2 linked regions of the Neurospora crassa OR74A genome follow. The protein of the gene in region 1 purifies or fractionates together with the protein of each later gene. This does not show direct contact. Links are inferred from orthologs where the notes say so. Each region holds a gene or a part of one and is shown in the gene's direction. Other genes may lie near its edges.

Region 1 (10,558 bases):
TTGACGGCATTGGGAATGTAAGTACTCTGTGTGAGAAATTGAAAAGTGTCTTGCCAGCTATCTTCAAACTCAAGGCCTTGTCATTTCAACCAGACAAATGCGATGGGACACTCATGTCGTGACGGCGTACACTCATGTTCCTGTTGTTTTCATTACAATATTCCATGCCATTAAAAGCGTGCTCAGTTACCCCCTTTCTGACCCATTCATTACGCCCGTAAGCCGTTGCAGTAAACATTCTCAGCCATCTTCTCCCTCTGTTCCTTCAGATAGAGAACTACGACCTCCACCATGAGCAGACCCCAAGCACAAAGATACAAACGAGAATATCCGCCTTAACCGTGCTTAATATCTGTCCATACCTCATCGCAATCTCCAAATAGCCCTTCCACGGCTGCGGCAAGAAACCCACAGCCATACCCAACATACCACCACCAAAAGCGCCGCCCACGGGACTCTTTGCCAAACCCTTTTCCAGAAAGAAGCGCGTCGTCAGCAGCAGCGCCTCAGCCGTAGCAAACACGTAGAAAAACCGTCTGGCCGAATCCGTATCGAAGCCCACAGCCACCTGGTCCCCCGCGCCCACGTGGTGGTGCTTGTTGCCAGTAAGGATGTTCTTGCTGTCCCTGTCGACCTTGCTGCCGCTGAACGAAGTCCACAGCGCAATGTAGAGACCGAGACCGAGCGCCACGGCCGTGTGCAGCAGGCGCCACAGGGAGGAGTACCGGTCGGGAACGGCCATGGCGGGCGGAACTCCTGGCTGGCCCATGCCCATTCCGGGAGGCATCATGCCGCCCATACCGGGCATGCCGGGGAACCCTCCTCCCGGAAAAGGTGGCATACCACCAGCACCGGAACCGGGAGCTCCACCTCCGCCAAGCATGTCGAGCATCATTTGCATCATCGGGTCCTCAGCGCCCGGACCACCCTGACCGCCCGGCCCTGCTCCCAGTAGGCTGGCAAAGGGGTCGCCGCCGGCGGCACCTGGAACCATGGGGGATTCGCGGCCGAGCATCATCTGGCGCAGGCTCTCTTCGGAGAGGTCGTTCGGGTCGAAGGGGGAAGGACCTTGTGTAGGCTGTGGCAGCTTGGGAATTCTTGGGGTGGTGTTTGGTTGGTAGAAGTGTTCAGAGGTGGAGATGTCGACCTCTTCGGGGTCGGCGTGAACTCGGGGTGCGGAGCTGGAGGTCGGGACTGGCAATGTCTTGTCATCGTTGCTGCTGCTGCTGCTGGCTGGCTGCGTAGGAGGAGGGTCTGAAGAGAAGACCAATGTCAGCTTTGGTTTAGTGCCATTTACATGATATTGTACTATGCTAGGACACGCGATGGATGGACGGAAAACACTGACCTCTTTCAACACCGCCTCCCAACCCAGTGATCTTGTTTAGACGATTTCCGGCATTGGCCCTGATCTTAGCCTCGCGTCGCTCCTTTCGAATGCGAGCCTGCTCGAGGGCGCGCGCCTCTGCCTCGTCTGCGGGGGAAATTCCCTCTGTCATGGTCTTTGTTGTCCGAGATACTCGTTGATTTGGGTGGGTGTCGTTAGGTACAAGATCGATCCGTCACTCTGTTGTTCCAATGTATGTATTTGTTTCGATATTCGTTTTGCGCGCCCGCGCAGAGGGATTGATCGGTTGAGGGATGGATGATGATTTATTTGTAAAAAAAAAAAGAGAAGAAATGGACAGATTGAAGTAGAAGCGACAAAGGTGATTGTGACGTCGTGCCTTCTTCTTCAGTGGACGAACGTGGCTCTTCCGGTTCCCTCTTGCTCCCTGTTGGTCGCTGTTGTTCAGCTACGTACAGTACATAGGTAAGGTCCGGGATGCCCGCCATCGGACTACTGAGCTGTCGGTCTGCCCCGTCCCCAAAAATCCTTATCTATGTCCCGCCTTATCGGAAGGTCCACACGTACTGAGGAGCTAGGTACCTACCCCTGCATTCACTGTTGTTGAGTGTTGACCCCCCCCGCGAACCCCTTTTTCCTTGTCACATCGGCGTCGTTCGGATGCAATGCAGGTGTGCAAGTACGTGGTGGTAGAGCATTGTTTCTCAAGGTGAAGCTCTGATACCCATCTTGGCGGCTATATATAATATATTCCTTTCAAACTATAGTACCACTGAGATCATCTTTGTTACTCATATGTCGACACTCTTCCATCCATCTACCTCTTTTGAGCAAGACCCTTTGTTTACTAATGAATTGACATCGGTTATGACATCTCGACCGTACCGCTCAAGTGACCACAATCACAAATCCCTTATGTTCCCCAACTTGAAAGCCCACATCAGGCTACCAAGTGAGCGGACTCATGCGGTCGTTCTTCAAATGGCTGTTCTGTCTTCCTACCCCTCGACCTCCTGAAACTCAACAGCTCCACGATGACGAGGACCATGAGAATGAAACCAAGAATCATGAAGGGAATAAGGTTGTAGCGCCATCCGCGCATGGTTCTCAATTTCTTCTTCAGTATGTCGTGATCGTCGCTGTGGACAAGTGATAGACTGTTGACCAGCGTATACCAGTTCTCCGGGGTCCAAGAGTCCCGTGGGTACGGCTTCGGAGCACTGCCTTCTGCGTAGGCGAGGTCGATACCCTGATCCGAATGCTTGTTGGTCAGGACATAGGTATAGATCAGAGCCGTGAGAGTAAGAAGCCAGCTGAGAATCGTGATAAGGGCCCAGAGATAGTAGAATGGCGATGTTTTCCCGTACTGCCACAAGGTTAGTACCATAGACGCACACTGCACAATGATTCTACGAGAATGAACACATACCTTTGCCCTGGACCTATGCTCCAACCACAAAGCTAGGAGGCCACCGAACCCTACAAGGACGACGCCCGTACCTCCTGCTGCATTTGTCGTGTGGCCGTGGTCCGTCAAAAGATGTGCAGGTTCTCCGGGAAGGTCGAAGACCGAACCAAGTCGTCGGACCTCGAATGGTTGGCCGCCGCGTCCATGAAGAAATGCCACCATTGACGAGACAAGGGATAATGAGATGGCTGCGTCAACGTAAAGCAAAAACAAAGCCACATAGATGGCTTTCATGAGCCTGCTTGAAGCCATTGTGAACGAATCCCACTAGGGCTGAGGGAATAGAAGAGCTTAACAGTGTGAAGAAGGACAAGAACAGTTGGGGTCTTGATATGGCAAAGTGCAATGTGGTTGGGGCCTGTCCAAGTTACCCCAGATATTGACAACAGCGCCAGCCGTCTTATATGAGAGCGGACCGACTGCGGTCGTGCCGGTGTGTCTTTTCTCTCGTTGGGCGAAAGGCCTTCTCTCAGCCGTCTTTGGGGACGCGGATTGGGTCCCATTTCCAAATGTGGTGGTTGTCAGCTTGTCCACACGTAAGCACACAAAACTGACACTGCCTCTTCATGATGTGCAGTGAGATTGGCTCGACCGGGTACGTACTTCTCTTCTTTGTTCCAAAGGAGGGATATCACTGCGTATGCCCAGCCAACGCCACGAGAACCCTTCCATATGAGAGATGCCTAGTCTGCAGCATGGAACTGCCACGCGCTGATCCGTGGAAGCAAAGCATCCAGCACGAGGCTCGGCTCGCTTCGCAAGGTTGTAACCCGTTTTGTGGCTATACACAACAGAGCTTGCCTTGTCAGATATGGGATATTGTGACGTCCTGTACCGACGAATACTATTCTTTGTTGGGAGTTATTCGAGGCCGGTCGCAACCTTGAGAGTAAAAAGAGTCCAGTCCCCACTGGAGGATAGAAATTGACCGTGTCTCACGGCATATGGCGTTGAAGCCAACTGCATCATAGGCGGACAGGAAGAGACCATACTTCTCAGCCCGGTGGAATAGTAGCGCCACGCTTTGAAGGTAAGAGCCAAAATAGGAAACTTGCCTCTCGGCCATCGTCATTAGGCATATAAGCAGAGAAATGCTGAACGATACAGCAACAGAACCACAGTTCATGGATTGGCAAGCTAACCGGCAACTCAACAGGAGTTTATCCTGTTTTCTTCTTCTTCTTGAACCTGGGACAACGAAGGACAAAGAAATGATGCATTTGCAACTTCTGAACAGAACGGGATAGTCTCATCGAGAAAAAAAAAAGAACATAAAAAGCCCCCAAATATCGCGGTGCCGACAAGGGCTGTTTGGAGGAAGCATTTAACACAACCCCGAGATTCTCTCGTCAACTCCTAACCCTCACCAGCCACCCCGACAGCTGGGTACTTGCTGCTACAAGAATATTGCCCAAAGGCTATGCACTGATCAAATCGTAGTGGGGTGGTCGACGTAGTGCCGCCCCACTGCCTATCGATAAACGAGTTATCGTAGGAATCGTCGCCAGGGCAGCTTCCATTTGGTAGGTAGGTCGGGTAGCTTTAGTGTACGGGACGAACTCCAGAAGCTTGTGTCAACACATCCTCCCGTCCCGTCCCTCCCCATCGTTCGTCTGAAAAATAACCTTCACACGAAAGTACACATATCATTCACACACACATAAACACACACAATGCTCTCTAGGATAACACAACGTATGGCGCTAAAGAGGGCGCTGGCGAGGCCTTCCCCTTGCGCCAAGGGCCGCGCTCAACCCCAGAGGAGATCTCTCACATCGGCACCCAGGCCTGGCGATGGTCCGTTGATGGAGAGGCGAGCTGATCGTGAACTTCCTGGTATGTTCTCCCCGTGTCTCTTCTTCTTCTTCTTCTCTTCTCTGTGTTCTGTATTTCCTGCTGTTTCCGCACCCCAATTGAGTTCCTTAGTACCATGGAAGTTACTGACCCCTCTTCCCTTTGCAACCACAAAAACAGATGTCCAAACCTCCCGCTTCCGCTGGTCCCGCACCTTCCCCATCTTCTTGGGCATCGTAGCCGCCACCTCGATCGCAATCTTCAACTACCAGAAACTCTCTTCCCCCGTGGTCGAGTCAACCCTCTATGCGCTGCGCACGAACCAGCGCGCGCGCGAGTACCTGGGTGACGAGATCTACTTCAAGGCGCAGATTCCGTGGATCTCGGGCGAGATGAACCAGCTGCACGGCCGCATCGACATCAAGTTCAATGTCAAGGGCACCAAGCGCACGGGCGTGATGCGCTTCGCCAGCTTCCGGCCCACGCCCCGAGGCATGTTCGAGACGACCGAGTGGAGTCTGGAGACGGAGGACGGCAAGGTCATTGACCTGCTGGAGGAGGGCGATCCGTTCAGAGCTATCAACGGCCGTGCGATGGAACCTGAGCTGGATGATGATGCAGAGGATGCGAAGGTCAGGGGTTTCAGGCAGATGCCCAAGTAATTGTTTTGGGGTGCTCTTAAGGAGGGAATAGTTTTGAAAAAAGGGAGGATATATATGGGAACCGGGGAAGGTGGTGGTCCCCCTCTCCCCCTCTCAAACAGGATGAGCTGAAGGACAGGATCGTGGTCTGGCTCTCTGATTGAATACCCGAAGGCTGTCAAGGAGGAATATGTGTAAGATATAGGGAGAGAACATACGAACCTATCACGGGCAAGGGTTGTATGTTCAAGTTGTTATACATTTTCGGTAGCTGTACATTTTAACACCCCACGATGCGTGTGTATCATACAAGAGAGAACTAAAAAAAATGAGAAACCGGGAAGGCTTTACCATACATTCCCTTCCATAAACCTAGTACAAACACATACTACAGACCAGAGACAGCCCCCCTCTCTTAAGCCGAAGCTTCTACCGCAGCATTTCCATCCGCCTTCTCTGTCAGCCCATTCTTGATGAGCGAATCTATCAGGCCCTGTCTCCTCGCCTCCTTGAGCTCCAAGTGCAACTTCCTCGCCGCCTGCAACTTCTCCTCCGCATCAGGGAACCGCTCGTTGAGGAGCTGCTTGGTGGCCTCGACAAACTCCTCCGGGGGAGGAGCCTTCTTGACAGCATCCTGAACCTTGACAACCGCACCCTTGTGACCAGCGACCGCGCCCTTGACCACCACGATGCCGAGCTCGTTGTCCACCATCAGAATGGGCAGGTTCTGGACCGTGTGCTGCTGCGCGCCCATGCGACCGGGCATCTTCTTGCCGGGCAACACACGCGAACCGGAGCCCTGCGAACCACCGACGGAACCAATGGTACGGTGGTTCAGCGAGTTACCGTGCGACGCCTCCTGACCGGCGAAGCCGTGACGCTTCATACCACCGGCAAAACCCATACCGCGCGTGATGCCGCGCACGTCCACCACCTGGCCGACGTGGAACCAGTCCGGAAACAGCTGGACGCCGACCGGCAACAAGCCGTCCTGGTTGCGCACCTTGAACTCGGCGAGCGTCTGCTTGGGCGGGATGCCCTTGGCCTCGTAGTAGCCGAGCTGCGGGGCGCCCACGTTTTCGGCGCGGCGCTCGCCCAGGCCAACCTGGACGGCCCAGTAGCCGTTCTTGGCGCGCGTCTTGTTGGCGACGACTTGGACCCGGTCGAGCTGCAGAACGGTGCAGGGGATGCGGGCGCCGGTGCGGCCCATGAAGACGGTCATGCCCTTCTTGACAGCGAGCACGCCGGTGCGCAGGGGTGTAGTCTTCTCGCGGCGCTTGAGGGCAGCGGCCGGGCCCGAGGTGGGCGCCGGAAGACCCTGCGTCACTTGGTTGAATCGTGTGGGCCTGCTGCGCTTCGGGAGCGTGCTCCAGCCGTACTTGACGCCGCGCTTTGTGATCTGAGGGAGGAGGGAGGGAAAGACAGTCGATGGCGAGGAGGCGGAGAAGGTGGGTGTGGTCCGGCCGGCGAGGAGGAGGGAGCTGGCGGCGGCGGTGGTTGTGGTGTGGGTGGCTGACCTCTCGACGAGGGAGAGCTGCCTCCAGCAGCGCGCGGGCAGCCGGGGCGCCATCGTGTATGTGTATAAGTCTGAGGGGAGGGTTGGGTGGTGTTGTGTTGCTTTTGGTGGGGTTGGTCGCAGTCAATTGGACCTGACGGTGTTCGTTGTATCGATGTCGGGGCCCCGGAGCGTCGAGTGGGGGGAATGGAAAGGACACCGGCTGTCTTCGAGACGCGAACCGGAGGGGGCGGAGTTGGGAGGTCGTTTCGGCGCGCGGCCGTTGAGGTGGTTTTGGGGCGGGTGCGGGAGTGGTGGTCGCCGGCTCGAAGCACGGAGCAGCAGAAATTTGATAGCCACTCAGAAATTCAGTAACGGGATGCTCCCCCCCCGATAACGTCGATCGGTTCGGCATCCGGGGATTCACAATTGACAGGGGAGGGGCGGCTATTCACAGGCGGGTACTATGTATTTGGCGGATTGTGGTGTACAGAGTGTGACATCTCTACAAGAAGGGTTAGGGTTAATTGCTTCTTTCTATTCACTTAGGTAGTTTTACTTCCGCTGGAGTGCGGGCGCATTTTACCGCATTGGATCCCCCAAACTCAACCGCTAAAACATCTTCACTCGAACCACCACCACACAGCCCCAGAGAAGAAATCGCGTTTTTGCATCTTGGTTTCCCTTCTTGCACGAAGTGTCTTTTTCATTGTCGCCGTTTTGAGATACCCAATATTCCCATCTTTCATTTCTTCCAAAGGCATCAGCAACCATGGTCTTCTATTTCACTTCGACCGTCGTCAGTCCCCCGGCTTTCATTTATGTGGGGAAAGACAAGTTTGAGAGTACGTGAAGATGATCATCAGCCACAATTGGTGGTATTCTGCATCTCCTTGTGGAATATGCATATATCTTGACACACTCATGGACATTGCATATTTGACTTGGATATAGATGTCAGCTCGTCACTCATCTAACATGCTATTTTATAGACGAGGAGTTGATCCAACACGGCTGGGAGGAGGATGTATGGTAAGTTTCACCCCGGCCAAGCCTAGTTCGGCATTTTCTAACTATTCTTCGTAGGGTATGACTCCCCATGAGGTTCTCGTCATATTATGCTCTGTTTCTCATTACTAGGCCCTACTTAGTTCCATGTCGACAAACTTTCCAGTGCTCATATCTACCTCCGTCTCCCAGAGGGTTGGACATGGGAGAACATTCCCGAGGAGCTCCTGACCGACCTTGGTCAGTTGACCAAGGCCAACTCCATCGAGGGTAAGTTGCTGCTTTTGAATTCTACTGTCAGGAAGTCATGGGGGAATTCGTGAGGACTAACTCTGTGCTTTTGTAAAGGTAACAAGAAGGACAACATCACAATCATCTATACCCCATGGGCCAATCTCAAGAAGGACGGCAGCATGGCGGTCGGCCAGGTCAGCTTCAAGGATCAGAAGAAGGTGAAGCGCATTTTGATCGCGCAGCGCGAAAATGCTATCGTCAACCGTCTGAACAAGACCAAGGTTGAGAAGCACCCGGACCTGCGAGAGGAGAAGGAGCAGCATCTCAAAGAGCTGCGCAAGAAGGATCAGGCGGCGGTGCTGGCGCGGAAGAAGGAGGAGGATCGCCTGAAGAAGGAGCGGGCCGAGAAGAAGTGGCAGAAGGATCATGCCTACGATGAGCTCTTTGCTGAGGAGAACATGATGAACTCGAGCAATCAGGATCGGGATGAGACCTGGGAGGATGATTTCATGTAAATTTGCTTGAGAACAAAAGAAACAAACCTACTGAAGTTTTCCAAGCTACATAAGACCTGAAAATCCTTTGATGCCCGAAAGCCATCGTCAGAACCTTCCCAACCTTGATTCCTATCTGGTATGCTGCCGCCTTTAAAGCAGCAGACTAAGAACTAAACCCGGTTTGACCCATCACTAGAGGTAGCTCCTTTATCCACTCTCGAACCTCTTTCTACCCGTCACTCATTCCTCACTCCCCTCAAAAGGTCCTCTCTACTACCCCTGACGGTTATATCCCACACCTCTTGCATCCGCCGTTCCCTTAACCTTATGATCCGTCGGCCTAGCCGCCGCCTCGTAGACGATATTCTTCGGCGCTTGTCCCAACGTCATCCACTCCCCCTTGAAACCAATATAACTGATTCTCGTTTCATCCTCCTCTCCTTGCGAAAAATTATCCGGGAAAAACAAGCACAGTCTTTGCACGGCGTTGAACTTGGCTCGCTTGACGGGCAATTCCTGGATTTCCGAAGTCTGGGAGAGCTCGAATTCTTGTGTGGGGGTAGAGTCCTCAGCTTGACCGAAATCGTGGATGTCGGCGTTGGCGAGGAGGCGGAGGGTGCGCGGGGCCGAGGGGGAGGGCGAGGTGCGCAGGAGGACCGAGTGCAGTTTGATTTGGGCTGTGAAACTATTCGGGAAGGGTCGGTGTGTTAGTGATTGGGTGTGTATGATGGGGTCATTGTATGATGTGTATGTTACGGGAGAGGAGTGACATTGAAATTTCGTGATGATGTGAATGACTTGAGTGATCAAGTGTGATAAAGTAGTAGTGTGACATACGGAACGTTGATAATCAGCTGCTCATCAGCATCGCTCACCACCTCGGGCTCCGTCGCCAATCGTTCGGCCCACGTCTTCTTGATAATGGCCTGGCCGGAGCCGTGCACCTGCTCGTTCAGCGTGGTGATCTCGTCAAAGTTGATGTGCTGGTACAGCGAGAACTGCACGGCGGGGGTGATGTCGTCAGAGTGGTCGTGCTCTGCCCCGCCCTCATGATGGTGGTGGTGGTCGTCGTGCTCGTCGTGGCAGTGGTGCGACATTGTCCTGAGTTGAGGTGTTGGAATATAAGATTTCTGTGCCTCGTGTTGTCAAGGTTTTGATGATTGATATTGACGACGGGGTGGTTGTTGAAGTTTGGTGAAAGTGAGGGGCCAAGACAGAATGCTTCCGTCGTAAACCTGCGTGATTTGAGTTGACCGTTAGTTCTTCCAGTGGGTGATTGCAACCAACTACATTTCAACGACGACCGTCAACAAAAATGCCTTTCGGAGATCGGAAAGCTAAATGGAAGATGTAGAATAGCATGCAAACAACTTTGACGAAAGTCGTTTACAAGAATTGGCCTATACATTGAACGCCGAATCTTCGAGTGTTTTCCGCACTTTCTCATCCAAACATCCATCGATCAGCAAGCAAACGAACTACCTCCACCATCGGTCACACATATCTATTTGTCACACAACATCACGTCAGGATCAAGCACGTAAAACACGAGGTTGCCATACGGTCATATTCATCTATCTGAATCCCATCCGCTTCTTCACCTTTTGCTTCTTCTTCACATGAGAGGGCCTACCTCCATGCGGTCCTGCAACAATTTGTGACATGGGCTGCGATGCAAAAAACTGCGATGACTCCGGCTGAGTGTTCTGCGTGAAAGCAAAACCTCTCGGCTGGCTCGACTGAATGGCAAAGGGCAGTGGTTGACTTTCTGCCTTGACAGCTTCAACTCCGCGAATCCTCGCCAGCAACTTCTCTCTCTTCCTGCGCTTTGCCTCGAGCTTGCGCCTTCTCCTAAGACCAGCATCATCTTCCTCGTCATCTTGACCTGGCTTCCATGTGATGACATTGGGGTCTTCACCAAGCTCCCAGTGAGAGGTGACTCGGGTTCTACCGCCACTTCTCTTCGAAACGGGGTTCATGGCCACGTACTGGCGTAGCCTCACGCCCACTACATCTTCACCGTCTGGTTGATCTTGACTCTGGTTCGTATCATAGCCTTGAGACTGTGATTGC
Region 2 (9,992 bases), on another chromosome or scaffold:
TATTTACATATAGGAAGAGGAATGTATTATGGATCTTATAGAGCTCCTAGAACATTAGTTTGAGCTATCGGAACAGTAATCCTTATACTTATGATGGCTACTGCCTTCCTGGGTTATCAACATAGCCCAAAATGGTTTGATATAAGTAATAAAGGTAGTATAAGTAATAAAGGTAATATCACAAATTCGTTGCCCCCCCTCCTCCAGAGGTGGGGGGGAAGAATAAACAAGAGATTGTTTAACAAAAATCTAGTAAAAAGAGGTTATTGTACAAGTAGTTCTTTAAATAGTCCTGAAATGTCTGAAAGATTACAAACGATTATTAATGAATTAGGTATAAACCCTGTATATGTTTATGAAGATTTAAATCAACCTTCCAGTTGAAAACAAATATTACATGATACAAGAGATTTAAGCGGTGTATATATGATAATTAATAAAACAACAAAAGATTATTATATAGGTTCTGCATCCAATAATAGATTTTATACTAGATTCTGTAATCATGTTATTCATTTTACAGGTAGCAAAATAGTTAAATTAGCAATTAAAAAGTATGAATTGAAAAATTTTGCTTTTGTTATATTAGATTTATATCCTAATGTTGTTACCAAAGAAAATAACAAGGAATTATTGGATTTAGAAGATAAATATTTAAAACTATTAGTGCCTAATTATAATATTTTAACCGAAGCAGGTTCTAGTTTTGGTTACAAACATACTGAAATAGATCGTCAAAAGATGAAAGATCTTTATAGTGACGCTAGACGAGAAAAGATAGGTAGTCTAAATAGGGGTAAAAAGTTTTCTCCTGAAACAATAGAAAAAATAAGAGAAAAGGCTTTAACTAGACCTCCTATGTCAGAAGAAACTAAAATAAAATGTATTGCTAATACAAGACCTGTTGTGTTATATAACTTGAATAGAACTATTTACGGTAAGTACTCTACTATTTTAGAAGCAGCTAATGCTATTAACTGTAATGAAAAAACCATTAGAAGAGCACTGCAGACAGAAAAAAAATTAGTTAAAAGACAGTGAATAGTAGAAGATTTTTCTGACAAATAGGTTTTATTCCTTATTATACTTTATTCTTTATTATACTTTATTCTTATATAAACCATAGTCCCATGAGTATAAATCTTTTTGCAATTTTTATAGAAAAAAAAAGATTAAAGTGGTACATCCCGACAGGGATGTAAAATAGTTTTAGTACTATTTGGCGATGTTAGTGAAAACGGTTAAAATCCCTCTACTTATGCTGGGACAAGACCGTCGGTTATATAAATAATCGCTACAGACTGGGTCACTAATGGGTGGCTGAAATGCTGCTTAATGTACAGTCGGAACTTTTAATTAAACAAAGGTATTTAATTAATGGAATACACGAATTAAAAGTTATTCCAGCTTATTATTGATATAATAAGTAAGTACGTATGTTTTACCTTATGGACAGATGAGTTTATGAGGTGCTACTGTTATTACCAATTTAATAAGTGCAATTCCATGAATTGGACAAGATATTGTTGAGTCAAAAATTATTACTTTAATTATTAATTTATCTTTTATTGCTATTTTATTTTCAATTGTAGTTGTGTATTATTATATCTTACTACATGTTAATTTTTCATCTAACCTTCCTACGATAGGTGTTATTCATCAAAACGCTTTAAAGAAATCAAATAAGGCTTTAAGATTAGATAAACAAGAATATATATCCATTCCTTCATCATTTTTAGCTTTTTTAGCTGGATTGGTTGATGGTGATGGGTATATTCAAGTAACTAAAACATCTAAAGGTTTCATAGCAATTAAGTTAGTTATATCTCTTCATTTAGAAGATCTTTCTATTTTAGAATATATTCATTCTGTTTTAAAAATAGGTAAGATAAATATTTATAAGGATTTAAGAAGTCCAACTTGTAAATTAGTAATTAATAAAACGGATCTACAAGAAATATTGTTCCCATTGCTTATGTATAATAAGATTTTTTTCTTAACTAATACTAGAGCAGATCAATTTAACTTAGCTATGTATATATTCAAAAATGATATTAAGATGTATAATCAAATTCCCGATAACACACCTGCTGTTTTTGAGATACCTAAAAATCCTATTGATTACACATTATTGCCTTTTTTTAAAAATTGAATAGTCGGATTTACATGTTCTGAGGGTTCATTTTTTATTAAAAGTAATAATGATGGTTGTTTTCAATTAAAACAGAGAATACATACTAATTTATTTGAAGCCTTTAAACTAATGTTTAATACTAATAGAAAAATAGATACAACAAATAATTTTAATCAATTTGGTGTTAGTTCTAAATCTGATATACAAAAAGTTATAAATTTCTTTTCATTTTCAGGTTTACATCCTTTAGTAGGGTTGAAATATATTCAATATATAAAATGGTTAAATAATTTACGAGAAAGTTTGCGTTATAGTACCTTAAATTATCCTGATGCAAAATAATGCAAGATAGATTGCAAAAGATATAAATTAATAAATGTAATGGGGCTCCTTAAAATAGGTAGGGTTTAATCTTATTATATTTTAGAGGCAAATGGGGAAAATTACAAGGACATTTAATAAATTACCTCCGTTTTATTAGATTATTTGTAGCGAAACTTAATTCGGTATATAAAAAATGGATTAAGAACGTTCAACGACTAATGAGTGAGTTATACCAACAATAAGCTCAACACGATACCCCCAAAATCCACTCTATGAGTGGGTTTAAGATATAGTCTAAATATACCCTTAAGGGTGTAAAGTATAAGTTAAATATTATACGTAATATATTGTCATTTGAGGAGGTTTTAGTGTAAACAATGCTACTTTAAATAGATTCTTTGCTTTACATTTTGTTTTACCATTTATTTTAGCAGCATTAGTATTAATGCATCTGATTGCACTTCATGATACAGCAGGGTCAAGTAACCCTTTAGGTGTTTCAGGTAATTACGATAGAATAACATTTGCTCCTTATTATTTATTTAAAGATTTAATAACTATTTTTATCTTTATATATGTTTTAAGTTCATTTGTTTTCTTTATGCCCAATGTTTTAGGTGATAGTGAAAATTATATAATGGCCAACCCTATGCAAACTCCACCTGCTATTGTGCCAGAATGATATTTATTACCTTTCTACGCTATATTAAGATCTATACCTAATAAATTATTAGGAGTTATTGCTATGTTTAGTGCAATATTAGCTATAATGTTATTACCTATAACAGATTTAGGTAGATCAAAAGGTTTACAATTTAGACCTTTAAGTAAATTCGCTTTCTGAGCTTTTGTAGTAAATTTCTTAATTTTAATGAAATTAGGTGCTTGTCATGTAGAATCACCTTTTATTGAATTAGGTCAATTTAGTACAATCTTTTATTTCAGTTACTTTATATTTATAGTACCTGTGCTTAGTTTAATTGAGAATACTCTTGTAGATCTCAACTACTTGAAATAAGATTTTTTTAGCAAAGCTAAAAAAAATTTTTTTTAGCTTTGCTAATTTGGTTTTTTTTGAGGCGAGCTTTCCTACCTTCCTCCCTTCCACTTCTCGAGGCGAGCTTCGCTTAATTTTTTTTTTAGCCGTCCCCCCGCCCTGCAGTACTGCAGGGGGGGGGTGGAGGGAAACGGAGGAGGCCGTAAATAATTATTTGATCTTAGCAAGGGATCAGGATTACGATGTAAATGGTTTACCCTTTGACTGCAAATCTTAAGGATTAGGTTCGATTCCTACGTAATCCTTTAGGGTTAGCCTATAGCCAATTTTTTTGAGGCTAGCTTAATTTTTTTTAGCCGTCCCCCCGCCCTGCAGTACTGCAGGGGGGGGAAGCTAAAAAAAATAAGCGCCAGCCCAAAAAAAAATGAAGCAAGCTGCCCGCAAATTTAATAAATTTACTAACTATCTTAATGAAAAAAAAAAAATAATTCTATAAGGGGAGTAATTATCTGTATTTAGGGCTTAAATAATATGGGGGTAGTACATAATAATAATATTTAAGCACTAAAACATATATTTGTTTTTGTTTTTAAAAATATATGATAAAAAGACGCCTCGCGGCTCGATTTATTATTTGTATGTAAAATAAATTTAGGTTTAGTTTAGTTTGGAGGCGAGCTTCGCTAGCCCCTAAAATATACAAACTAAATCTTCTCTTGTAGGCTACAAAGGAATATAAGATACTAAGTAGTATCTTAACTGATGTTGTAGAAAAGGCGGAGTGATTCTGAGGCAAGCTTCGCCCGCCTTAACAAAATATGTATTATGAAGAAATAAACCGGTAAAGAAATATTTCTTTTTTTTTTTATATACACTACCTACATATTTTGGAGGCGAGCTTCGCTTAATTTTTTTAGCCGTCCCCCCGCCCTGCAGTACTGCAGGGGGGGAAGCTAAAAAATAATTGCCTCCCAAAATATTTTTAATATTTTGGTTAAATAATAAGATAAGTCTTCATTTTCTCGCGTAGCGGAGGCTCTCCTAACAAACCCCCCGCAAGCTTGCGGGGGTTTAGAAGTGGGAGCAAAATGAATTATAATAATAACTTGTGCGCTCCTCCAAAGGCGCTCATCCACTCTTCACAATCCCCCTTCCCCCCCCTGCAGTACTGCAGGGCGGGGGGACGGGGGGATATGTGGATAAGGGTAGCGAGAAAAGTTAATTTACTACATGAGGCTAATGGAATATTGGATAGCTGACTTAATATAGCAAGGCACTTCGTTGGTTCTAATACTGATTTAGCCGTGATTCCGCCTTTTTTTTTTTTTTTTTTTTTTTTAAAAAAAAAAAAAAAAAGAAAGTCCACAAAACATTGAAAGGCTAGTGTGTTTTTTAGTAAGTCAGTCAATCACCTACGTAGGTGATCCAGAATTACGTTACCGGGGATATTCTGTTGGTCGGTTTACAGAATATCCTGGTTAGCATTGATTGTATAATCAATAAGATGTTGTAATCTTATTTTATTTTTATTTATAAGATACGTAACCATTATAATAAAAACCATTATATTATTTAATCAATTAAATAGTGAGGAGTTTGGGCTCTCTTTAAATTCAAGTAAAAGAAGTGTCGGGTTAATGTCGTCAATTTCGATTTGAACTGAAAGATGATTTTTATCAACGAATGCTAAAGATATAGGAGTTCTTTATCTAATCTTTGCGCTATTTTCTGGGTTACTTGGAACAGCATTTTCTGTTTTAATAAGAATGGAGTTAAGCGGACCTGGGGTGCAGTACATTGCAGATAATCAATTATACAATGCTATAATAACTGCACATGCGATCTTAATGATTTTCTTTATGGTTATGCCAGCATTAATAGGTGGATTTGGTAATTTCTTGTTACCATTATTAGTAGGGGGTCCTGACATGGCATTCCCAAGACTTAATAATATTAGTTTCTGACTGTTACCACCAAGTTTACTATTATTAGTATTCTCTGCATGTATAGAAGGTGGAGCAGGTACAGGATGAACAATTTATCCTCCTTTATCAGGTGTACAAAGTCATAGTGGACCTAGTGTAGATTTGGCTATCTTTGCCCTACATTTATCAGGAGTTAGTTCCTTATTAGGGTCTATTAATTTCATAACTACAATAGTAAATATGAGAACACCAGGAATTAGATTGCACAAATTAGCTTTATTTGGATGAGCTGTAGTTATTACAGCTGTATTATTATTACTATCTCTCCCCGTGTTGGCCGGTGCAATTACTATGCTATTAACAGATAGAAATTTTAATACATCATTCTTTGAAACAGCTGGTGGTGGTGATCCTATTTTATTCCAACATCTTTTCTGATTCTTCGGGCATCCTGAGGTTTACATTTTAATTATACCTGGTTTTGGTATAATAAGTACAACAATATCAGCTTATTCTAATAAATCAGTATTCGGTTATATTGGTATGGTCTACGCCATGATGTCTATTGGAATATTAGGATTTATTGTTTGAAGTCATCATATGTATACAGTTGGTTTAGACGTGGATACAAGAGCGTATTTCACAGCAGCTACATTAATTATTGCAGTTCCTACAGGAATTAAAATATTCTCATGATTAGCTACATGTTATGGAGGTTCTATTAGATTAACTCCTTCTATGTTATTTGCTTTAGGTTTTGTATTTATGTTCACAATTGGGGGATTAAGTGGAGTTGTTTTAGCGAATGCATCTTTAGATATAGCATTCCACGATACTTATTACGTAGTTGCTCATTTTCACTATGTATTAAGTATGGGTGCTGTATTTGCAATGTTTAGCGGATGATATCACTGAGTACCTAAAATATTAGGTTTAAATTATAATATGGTGTTATCTAAAGCTCAATTCTGACTTTTATTCATAGGGGTTAATTTAACATTCTTCCCTCAACATTTCTTAGGTTTACAAGGTATGCCAAGAAGAATAAGTGATTACCCTGACGCATTTTCAGGTTGAAATTTAATAAGTAGTTTTGGGTCAATCGTAAGTGTAGTAGCTTCTTGATTATTCTTATATATTGTGTATATACAACTAGTTCAAGGAGAATACGCAGGTAGATATCCATGATCAATCCCACAATTCTATACTGATAGTTTACGTGCTCTTTTAAATAGAAGTTATCCTAGTTTAGAATGATCTATAAGTAGCCCACCTAAACCTCATTCATTCGTGAGTCTTCCATTACAATCTTCATCATTTTTTTTATCATTTTTTAGATTATCATCATATGGGGAACAAAAAGAAATCAGTGGGAGGCAAAATTAATTTTCTTGAACTTTTAACTTTCATCCAATTTTTAACTCATAAACTAACTTTAACACCACCAAAACCTCACCTTTTTGTGACCTCAAATTTACAAGCATCTATTTGGAACTGACCTTCTAAATCTCGTATTACTGAAATATCTAAAGCCATCTGAATGAATATGATTAAGAAGTTTAAAATATTTATTTTTTTTGCTCTACCTACTATGTTAATAGTTAAAGGTATATATATTTGTTATGATCAGGAGATATGAACTCTGGTATTTTTTACTCAAAATTTGGTAAAAAATTTCCCTTTTTTTGGCTTAAGATTATTTAATATGATTTGAGTAGAGTCCAATTTAGGAGTAGAAGCGTCCAATTTAGGAGTAGAAGCTCCTAAAGCTTCTTCAATATTTTTAGATCTTCATCTTTGAACCTTGATGTACCTATTTGGTAGTTTAGCTAGAATTTTTGGAGAACTATATTATAGTGATTTTGAATTACCTGCGGGTGTAGGTGGTGAGTCTTGTGAAAAAAAAACACCATCTCCACGTGGACCTTTAACTTTATATAAAAAAGGTTCAGACTCAGGTGCATCAGGAGGTTCAGATTCACCTCCATCTGCAAAAGGAAATTCAGGTGCAAGCTCAGGTCCTAATCAAGACCGATTAGCACCAGAAACAGATTCAGAGGATGAAACAACACAAACAGATCAAGGTCCTAGATCCCGAGGTTATCGTAAAACAAGAACACGCTCAATGGTGCGTAGGCGTTGAATACGAGATAAACCAGACTGAGTAGAAGGTTTATGAACAAGGTCTTCCACTGAAGGAGTGGAAAACTTAGATGCTACTAAGGCAAGTCAAACTAAGTCAGCTGCAGAAAACTTAGATGCTATTAAGGCAAGTCAAACACCTAAGTCAGCTGCAGAAAACTTAGATGCTGCTGCTATTAAGGCAAGTCAAACACCTAAGTCAGCTGCAGAAAACTTAGATGCTGCTAAGGGAAGTAAAAGTAAAAGTAAGTCAGCTGTAAAAAAAGCTGCCAAAGCTGCCAAAAAATTAGCTGCCGAAAACTTAGATGCTATTAAGGCAAGTCAAACACCTAAGTCAGCTGCAGAAAACTTAGATGCTGCTGCTATTAAGGCAAGTCAAACACCTAAGTCAGCTGCAGAAAACTTAGATGCTGCTAAGGGAAGTCAAACTAAGTCAGCTCCAAAAAACTTAGCTCCTATTACGGGAAGTCAAGCACCTAAGGTTAAAGCTGCTTTGGCTGAGTTTTTGGGAATAGAAACTTCTCAATTGCAGACGACTGCAGTAGTTAGAGAACTAGCCACTAAGTTGGAAGATGATCTTCCAGGATCTCTTGATTTTGCTGATCAGGAGAATGGAAACAAAATCATTTCGATGCTAAAACTTCGTGAATTCGCTCTACAGGAAAACAATAGATATAGATCTACGATTTATAAATCTTTAGGTCAGTTTATGGATCCGGAAAGCCATAAAAATTTAAAGGAGATCCTAGATAAACTCGAGGAATCCAAGAATTTACTTATGACAGAAGGTCAAAAACATAAAAATACATTTGACAGAAATAGTCAGCAAAATACTGCTTATAATTTTAAAGGTGATATGAAAAAATATCTCGAGCTTCAAAATAAAGTTCAACATAGTCAAATGAAAAACTTTAAATTAGCGGAATCTATTATACAGAAAAATATCCAGCGTGAGTATAAATGTAAAGAACTTAAAGATTTCCTCCACCAAGAATTTCCAACTTCTTGTAGAGATTTCAATGACCAAGAAATGAAATTAAAGAAATACTTTCTAAATGCATTTAATCAGGCTAAAACTAAAAATTAGATCGAAAAAAAAATTCCTTCCTTCCCCCCTGCAGTACTGCAGGGCGGGGGTAAAATAACCTAGCCGCATTAAATCAAATCCAATCCCATCCCATCCCATCCCTCCCTAACCAGCCGCAATAAAATTTCAAATTATTTAGTAGACATTTAGAGGACTGGAGAGTTAGGAAACAAGAGGAAAGAACAGTAGCCCCTGCCCAGCCAGGAGACACTAGGAACGTATGGAAAACCTAGAAACGTAGTAATATGAACACAATCTATATGGGGTAAGCTTGCGCCCCTCACCTTAAATATTTAGTCTATATACCCGACTTAAGAAAGCTTATTTTTTAATATAGGGCTAGACTTAAGTAAGGCTTGGTTTTTTTATGCCTTACTTCGTAGGAGAAATGGAATATACGGGTAGCTTAAATTTTAAGCTTAATCAACCTAGTATGTAAACATATACTACTACGGGTATAAACTCTTCCCCCCTCGTATCCCCCCTTTAATCCCCTTTAATCCCCTTCCCCCCTGCAGTACTGCAGGGCGGGGGAGGGGGATAAGGGGGGGGATTAGGGATAAGAGTATTATACATTTCTCATTAGCTCAAAGGAAGAGCAGGATACTTCTAATATTCCGATTTTAGTTCGAATCTAAAATGAGAATTAAGTGATTAATCATTAGATAGTAAAGTCAATGATTCTTTACGAATACTACTTTAAATTTTAAAGTTTTAATATTTTATATTTTGGCACACACAATTCAATTTTTTGGCCTAGATTGCTTAATAATAAATCAATTCCAATTATTAAAAGATTCGAGGGCCCGTGGGGCCTTGAATCAACCCCGGAGGGGGGTCGATTCTTCATCTCGATCTTCTTCTTCTGCTTCTTCATCATTTAATCTAATTTTTTTTTTTTATGTTTTATTCCCTAACAATAATCTCGATTTTAGAAGTTCTTTTGGTATTAGTTCCCTCTTTATTAGCAGTAGCTTATGTGACAGTAGCGGAAAGAAAAACTATGGCAAGTATGCAAAGAAGATTGGGTCCGAATGCCGTAGGTTACCTAGGACTTTTGCAAGCATTTGCTGATGCTTTGAAACTTTTACTAAAAGAATATGTAGCACTTACACAAGCTAATATGACATTATTCTTTTTAGGTCCTGTTATTACATTAATTTTTTCTCTTTTAGGTTACGCAGTAATACCTTATGGACCGTCATTGGTTATTCAGGATGTGAATTTAGGTATATTATATATGTTGGCTGTTTCTTCTCTAGCGACCTACGGAATACTTTTAGCTGGATGAAGTGCTAATAGTAAATATGCTTTTTTAGGGTCATTAAGAAGTGCAGCCCAATTAATTAGTTATGAGTTAGTCTTAAGTTCTGCGATACTTTT

The links. Proteins that work in one complex are often made in the same cells at the same time.
Region 2: the proteins of NCU06748 (region 1) and NCU16016 purify together in Saccharomyces cerevisiae (affinity purification with western blotting, with the first as the bait; 4 studies listed by BioGRID). This does not show direct contact. The link is inferred for Neurospora crassa OR74A from reciprocal best matches to the Saccharomyces cerevisiae genes COA1 and COX1.

Annotation. Positions count from the first base shown.
Region 1 is NC_026502.1:2,064,070-2,074,627, reverse strand, and holds NCU06748 (hypothetical protein), read left to right. Parts: upstream 1-4,326; 5' UTR 4,327-4,489; coding exon 4,490-4,652; intron 4,653-4,790; coding exon 4,791-5,272; 3' UTR 5,273-5,666; coding exon of another isoform or gene 5,667-6,821; 3' UTR 6,822-6,948; downstream 6,949-10,558. Other genes in the region: NCU06746 (hypothetical protein), read right to left, coding at 278-1,254, 1,349-1,499; NCU06747 (hypothetical protein), read right to left, coding at 2,289-2,714, 2,778-3,068; NCU06749 (mitochondrial 54S ribosomal protein YmL9), read right to left, coding at 5,667-6,821; NCU06750 (coiled-coil domain-containing protein 25), read left to right, coding at 7,519-7,591, 7,739-7,778, 7,921-8,024, 8,103-8,503; NCU06751 (DUF1000 domain-containing protein), read right to left, coding at 8,759-9,170, 9,323-9,582; NCU06752 (hypothetical protein), read right to left, coding at 10,060-10,558. UniProt on the Saccharomyces cerevisiae protein: Required for efficient assembly of cytochrome c oxidase in the mitochondrial inner membrane. Involved in a step coupling MSS51-dependent cotranslational insertion of COX1 to the addition of its heme A and copper B cofactors.
Region 2 is NC_026614.1:34,176-44,167, forward strand, and holds NCU16016 (cytochrome c oxidase subunit 1), read left to right. Parts: upstream 1-5,092; coding exon 5,093-6,766; downstream 6,767-9,992. Other genes in the region: NCU16015 (laglidadg endonuclease), read left to right, coding at 1-114, 1,436-2,476; NCU16013 (cytochrome b), read left to right, coding at 1-117, 1,439-1,532, 2,809-3,476; NCU16014 (group I intron endonuclease), read left to right, coding at 1-1,068; NCU16017 (hypothetical protein), read left to right, coding at 6,729-8,609; NCU16018 (NADH dehydrogenase subunit 1), read left to right, coding at 9,511-9,992. UniProt on the Saccharomyces cerevisiae protein: Component of the cytochrome c oxidase, the last enzyme in the mitochondrial electron transport chain which drives oxidative phosphorylation.